Daphnia pulex: one gene and its partner. The protein of the gene in region 1 purifies or fractionates together with the protein of each later gene. This does not show direct contact. Links are inferred from orthologs where the notes say so. Each region holds a gene or a part of one and is shown in the gene's direction. Other genes may lie near its edges.

Region 1 (3,758 bases):
CGCTAACAATGAATCCACAACTCAACAGGGCCAGAACGCCAGATTTGCATTAGCTATGAATCGCGACTATAGCGGCATCGCAGGATTCGCAGCCAGTCGCAACTCGCAAATGTCGCAATGCATACTTCCCACTTTATGTAGAATTTAGTGAAAAATCAAATCGGGCACTCTGTAAATGTTCTAATTAATACAGTTTTTTTTTTAGTTGACAATAATAATAATCCTTGAAAATCCAAGAACATTTTCTTCTATTTTCTGTCTGTTTTCGCCAACATGCCTTCTGGTATTGTTTTGCTTTAAAAAAATACTCGTATTCGTACTTCTTTTGTCTTACTTGATTGGCCGTGGCCGGGGCTCAAGGCAAAAAAATAAGTTCGGAAGACGGATGGGTGAAAAGAAAAACAAAAAAGGGGCAACAAACAAATGCACGCGCGAGAGAAGAAACAAAAAAAAATGTTTCCCCCTTAGAAATCTCATAGTATCATATACTATATACAAGTCAATTACACACGCATTGCAATGCCATAAAATCTAAAGATTTATTATTTCATTTTTTCGAATTCGCATAGTATGTAAACTGAATAATACTCTGTTTCTTTATTCTGACATTCCTTATTGTACAGGAAATGGGGCACTCATCAGTCATCAACGCTTTTCTCACTTAATCCAAACAAGATTTTATGGGCTTCTTCGAACACGGACTAAGCTAATCCTCAAACTGCCACTGAGGCATTATTCGAAAAAGGGCTAAGTTTATTTATGTAAAATAACTTTCGATTGTTTGATAATTGTCCACAGAATTGCAGTTCATGCTGACGTAATATGGGAATCAGATACACATTACTGTAGAAAAAAAATTTCGTTGTTTTATTAGAAGATTGAAAATGCGATGATTGTAAAGAAATAAACCAAAGGATTACACGGACGGACCGGGACAGACAACACGGTTACCCAAAATGTAAGCGCTATCGTTCGCTAATCGCTCGATGTTTTTCTGAAATATTATCCCTGCAGTTCATACTTGTTTTTTGCTTGTTATTAAAAGCATTTTCGTAACAACATTTTAAAATCATTTTAAGTTGCAACACTTTAAAAATATATGATATTATGATGCCAAGCATCATGCCATATTAGAAATATCATCGTGTGGGGCGTGTGGAGTAAGATCAGAAATTTTCACGACACCTAGCCGCGACATAACGAACTAAGTGTAAAGAGCAATCGCAGGCGTCGCTTTGAATAAGTTCATGGCGGGCTGATCGTACATTTCCTCTTAAATGATGTCGAGTTCTCGAGATGAAGGTATTTATATTTTATCTTACCGTTGTTTAGATCATGACTGTGTTATTTCCGTCAAGTTAAGAATACTAATTTCACACAAAAATAGATCTGATTGCATAAAATTCAAGCTAGGTTGATGCCCTTAGGAAACTATTTTCAAAATGGCGCCTATTACAGGCGGGTTTTTCGATATTCGTTGAAAAATCTTTTTAAACTGGAATAAATTTTGGATTACATTAAACAGATATTAACCTTCCCAATGCTAAGATCACTTAGAAGCTTATTTGATAGTATGATTAAGTACCTACTTGATAGATATTTACCTTACTAATCTTGTTTTCCTTCCCAGTTTCCGCTATGCAAGTCGAAACAGATGACTTCATTCTCTCCCTTACTTCTGTTGGAGAAGAAAATGATGAACATACAGAAGTGATAACAACAGAAGTCTCAGATTTACCTCCTGATTTAGTTAACACTGATGTGGCTGATTTGGTAAGTTATTAAAGCTATCAAAGTTGGTTTCTAAAGACAGTTGTTATTTAGCATTCTTTGACATATTTTTAAATTTCCAACCATATTCTTTTGAAGGCAAACAACCCCAGTCTATGGCTTGGATTAGAAGGAGCATTGGAATCGAATGATGCAGTATCCAACATGTCCAATGTTTCTGGCATAGTAGAGGAACATGTTCAGACAAATGAGTCAGCAGTGCATTTAGGAAATGACCCCAACAACTTGAATATGAATGATCTGGGTCATTCTGAAGAAGTGGAAACTATGACTATTGAAGCTATGGAGGTGGATGTGCAAGTAATATACTCTAAATATTAAACTTTTTTTTTCCTAATTATCTGTTGTTTACATTATTTTAGAACATGGAAGTGAGCAGAAGTCAAGAGGTACACTCAATACCCTTAGAAAGTTTTATGGATCAAAGTGACATGGGAATCAGTATCATGACAAGCCAGTGTGATGATAAAAATGCGCCCTCGATAACGCCAATGTCCGTTTCCTTACCGGTAGTCGAACCAGTGACTAGAACTGTTTTCCCTCTGGGTCAAATCAAGAAAACAATTCCAGTTTCTTCCTCGACTCAGGTTTAATTAATATTTTATTTTTCTTAATTATTTCTTTTATTAATTATTGGTTTTTCAATGAATAGGTTACTAAAGTCGTGCTAGCACCCACAAGCCAAAATCAAACTGGACAGCCATTACTTCTTACAGTTCCAGCATCAACAAGTGGATTAACATCTCTACTAACTCCGAATACAAATTTGCGGTTTGTTAATGCCCTTAGTACAGATGGAAGTAAAATGTCGACCATCGGTACACCCTCTTCAAACATTCATTCACAATCTGTTCGCCTTATGAGCCCGACCAAAACCATCACACTTCAGCAAGCCCAACAGCTTGGACTTATATCGCCTAAAAAGGTAGACAAACGCCTAAAAAACGTATGAAATGGGAACTAATATATATTTTAAAATCAGGGGCAACCTTTAATTGTAAATAAAGTCGCCGTTGCCACGGCAAGTCAAGGAACCCCTACTACCAATATCTTGGCAGGAAAACAAGGAGCTAAATTTGCAGGAGGAAACGTGACGTTGGTAAGAAGCGCCCCCACCAAAACACCAACGAAAATTGCCCCAGCTCCCCCGCAGACAGTTGCATCGAATATTTCATCCAGTTCTTCAATACAAAGCCAACCAACCAGCTTACTGATAAAGAACGCTGCTGGACAAGTAACAATGGCAGCACTGGTCCAAACTAGACCCAACGGTGGTAATGTCACCAACATGAACCCCCTTAGTCCTCAGAAGTTCGTACTGAGACCTTCTGCACCAGGCCCGATCACTGCAGCCCAAGGTAAAATCGCAGATTTGTGTTAAAATGCGAATTTATCTTTTATGTTGCGAATTTTAAAACTGTGGTTTTTGTAATTAATTATTTAATAATCCATTTTTCAAACATATTTTTAGTTCGTCAAGGAAGTGGAACACAACCGGCTCAGTACATAAGATTAACAACAGCTCAAGCTTTAGCTGCCGGAATACTCCCCGCAATCGGAACCCACGGAGAACAGAGTGGTCAACAGCAGCATTTTCAACTTGCCGGGAACAAGGTTGTTTCGATCATCAAAATTGGAATGTGTAAATTAATATGAAATGTATTGGTTTTAGATACAATTAGTTCGCGTTGTTAACCCATCTGCTGGAAACAACGGGTCGGGAAATTTGGTTACTGCATCAGGAACTTCAAAAGTTATAATCGGGGCACCTACTGCAAATTCTATTAAGGTAAAATATTCAACCTGATAATCCTGAAATTATACAGAATTACAATTTTTTGTTTTTATTGTTTTTAAAAAAATTTTAACAGATTCATTCAGCAAACAGTTCGCTGGCACAACAAACAGTTAAGGGAACAACTACTTTAACAAAGGCGGTAGGGCAAGTAAAGGGTGCGATTTCCACT
Region 2 (3,120 bases), on another chromosome or scaffold:
TAACAAGAGTAGTAACTTCTGGATCAACATTGTAAACACATCCTGAAAGTCCTCCAGCTTTCCAGTCACAGTCCCCTATGGTTAAAAAAACAAACAAACAGCTTAATCCAATCTATTTTCATGCATTAAGATAAAATTATTTACCTAGGTCTAGATATTCACTAGCTTCTTTAGTAATCTCTTCAACTGATTTTCCATTACTAGGCAATTGATAATAGACACTAAGGGATTTTGTGCATTTATTCATGTCTTCTTCCATCATATGTTTAGCCTTAAGTCTTTCCTCTGCTACCTTTTTTTTCACAAAAGGAATCATACGAATCCATGAGAAAATATATCTCTTTGTTCTTTCAGCCACAGCTTCAATAAAAGAAAAAAATAAATTATTATTGCATGAGGCTCTTAATTCTTACATAGACTTGTGAAATATTTACACAATTCTGGATCTGTCAGAAAGTTCTGTAGTCGAGCAATGGAATATGCTGCTCCAGCCGATATCAAAATTATTTTAAAAGAAAACTTCTCATTTAAACGGTAGTCTATATATATTTTTATAAATCTAGCAACTTCTAATATGCTCGGCTGTAATTAAGAAAAATAATTAGAATACTTTATCTTGAATTTCTTCATGGGTAAATTTAGTTTCAATAAATTGACACAATGTATGTATCTTACCATAGACATGGTTATGAAAAATAACCAAGTTTCCTTTGTGGCTTCAAATGAGGAGCTGACTGATTTCCAAATGAGGAATATTTCAACCTTGGATCAGCAGCTCAGTGCATATACCACATTTACCCTATCAGTCAGGTAGAGTTTAGATAAAGTAAACAAGATAAAAAAACAAAAAAACACCAGCAATATCACAACATGTCAAGATTGATACCTCTTCTACACCCTTGGACTGCAAACAAACATCCAGACAGCAGACACATAGGATTGTTGCATAAGAAAGTAAAAATTAATAATAAAATATTAAGATTAATGAATGTTTAGAAATGTACACTGTATATAACTAAATAAATAAAATTGAATTTTAGGTGTTTACAAATACAAATGTGACATTTAACTAATTAACTTAGATAATTTGTTTATACTTCGTAAATTCAGAAAGATACGTCTCAAATTTGGTTTTCTGCATAATCATTTTATTTTGCGGTTTGAGTCATCATCACTCGGGCATATTTCATATTTGAATAGCGGATCAGCTCAAATTTACAGTTCCTCACGGCCGATCGAAATCCGCTTTATGAAGTCCGCAATTCGTCTGCTTCTTCCGATATCCTTGTTTTATTTTGTAAAATCTGACAACCATTAAAGAAGAGAAAGTGGCAATGCTGTGTTTGTTTGGAACTCGGTCGAATTTTTAATTTCTTTTGTGAAATTCTTTATTTTCAAATCTAGAAATGAGAAAGGATAAAGAGAAATATGGTATGCAACTTTAATGTTTACATGTTTTGCTGAATGGCATTTGTACATCACACGAATTGTTTATTTTATAGATCATGGGCATGAAGTTAGCACTGCCCGTGGACGATTGGAAGGAGCTCTGCAAATTTTGATCGAAAAAACTGAATCTGAAGATAGCGATGAATCTGACGTAGATGTAACTGATTTAATCCATGAAGGCAGAAGGTATTTACTGAATAGTTACATTAAGAATTTAAAAAATTATGTTTTTATTTATCAATTTGGCTATGATTGTATAGTCAATCAGCATCTCCTAGGAAATCAGGAACAATTAAAACTCCATTGAGAAAGAGAAGACGCTTAAATGTGGATAAACATTACAAAAATGACCAAAATTCCTATGTGCTTAAGCTTTATGATCGTAGTGTTGATCTTGCAAAATTTTCTCCTCAAACTCCCCTATATCCTGTTTGCCGTGCTTGGATAAAAAATCAACCAAACAACCAACAATTTGGAGCTGCAAAGTAATTTGACATTTAATTTCCAGCCTTAAAGAAATATTATATAGTGTTTGATTTCAGTGCAAATTCCCCTAAGAAACTGGAGGATAAAGGAGCTGAGGTTAAAGAGGATTTAAAACTTGAAGAAAATGGTGAAGCTTTTGTAAATAGCTTGCCATTACCTGAAGCGATGCCTCTGGATGAAGAAGGAAACATTGTAGATACTAGGATTCCCTTTGATCTGAAGCCCAGTGGAAAATCTAAATCACTAGATTTGCTGCTAAATGTGTGTGTAAGTGAATTTGGAACTTCAGTGTAGAATTTTTACTAACTGTTGACTTCGGAAAAACTCATGTAAAACAGGAAGATGAGGCGGCTCCATCAGTATCATCGCTATTGCAGGAGGTGGGTAGAAACATTTGGTCAAATGAATGCAGTTTAACTAATTTTTTCTCTTTTTCATTTAACAGCATTGTTCTCATTGGGGTCGAGTACGAGAGCAATGGAGACGGGCGGCTAATGTCAATGAAGTCCGTTATGTTGAAAGTACCAAGATTCTTAAGAATATTTTAGTTCGCCCTTAAATTTGATGTGATCATCATATTTTTGTACTACTTGACAAAAATTCAACAACCATCAGCGTTTGTTTTGTGGGACGTGTGCTTCAATATTATCTTAAAACAAAAACATTAACTTGCTTTTTAACTATTCAGTTATAGTATATTATTGTCCAGTCATACCGTTTCCAATCCGATACAAAACAAAAAAAAAAAGAAACAATCAAACAACCTAACAATCGAACAAACAAAAAAGAAACAAATGAGATATTTGAGACAAACACGCACATGGTTCTCGTCAGTTAAATGTAATCAAGAGAAATCTCTTAACAGTTTGTCACACGCCAGGTCACAAATAGGTCGATTCCCCTGTAAGATAAATAAGTGCTCAATTGATCTTTCATTTCTTGGCCAAAAAATAAAAAAAGGTAGGTAAGTTTAAAGATTGGAGTTCAAAGAGATTTCATGTATAAGAAACTGTAATTGAATGGAAAAGGGTGCGAATCTAACAAGAAAATGCAGTGACGACAGAGTACCAATGGAACTAATCAATAACGAAGTGTGGGGAAAATGTCGAACTTCGGACGCCAATTTTTGCATGGTGTCTCTTATATAAAGGGAGATCCAGGTCACATGTTTATTTCAACAATGAA

Evidence for each region. Proteins that work in one complex are often made in the same cells at the same time.
Region 2: the proteins of protein lin-54 homolog (region 1) and protein lin-37 homolog purify together in Homo sapiens (affinity purification with mass spectrometry; 4 studies listed by BioGRID and IntAct, counting the BioPlex papers as one, with this or other methods). This does not show direct contact. The link is inferred for Daphnia pulex from reciprocal best matches to the Homo sapiens genes LIN54 and LIN37.

What each region holds. Positions count from the first base shown.
Region 1 is NC_060026.1:5,748,741-5,752,498, forward strand, and holds the start of protein lin-54 homolog, read left to right. Parts: upstream 1-1,195; 5' UTR 1,196-1,277; coding exon 1,278-1,302; intron 1,303-1,630; coding exon 1,631-1,773; intron 1,774-1,869; coding exon 1,870-2,091; intron 2,092-2,153; coding exon 2,154-2,378; intron 2,379-2,443; coding exon 2,444-2,716; intron 2,717-2,773; coding exon 2,774-3,149; intron 3,150-3,262; coding exon 3,263-3,405; intron 3,406-3,463; coding exon 3,464-3,580; intron 3,581-3,662; coding exon 3,663-3,758. UniProt on the Homo sapiens protein: Component of the DREAM complex, a multiprotein complex that can both act as a transcription activator or repressor depending on the context. In G0 phase, the complex binds to more than 800 promoters and is required for repression of E2F target genes.
Region 2 is NC_060021.1:10,751,263-10,754,382, forward strand, and holds protein lin-37 homolog, read left to right. Parts: upstream 1-1,297; 5' UTR 1,298-1,406; coding exon 1,407-1,431; intron 1,432-1,502; coding exon 1,503-1,635; intron 1,636-1,709; coding exon 1,710-1,934; intron 1,935-1,991; coding exon 1,992-2,202; intron 2,203-2,273; coding exon 2,274-2,315; intron 2,316-2,380; coding exon 2,381-2,494; 3' UTR 2,495-2,603; downstream 2,604-3,120. Other genes in the region: sphingosine-1-phosphate lyase-like, read right to left, coding at 1-75, 145-360, 435-582, 676-684.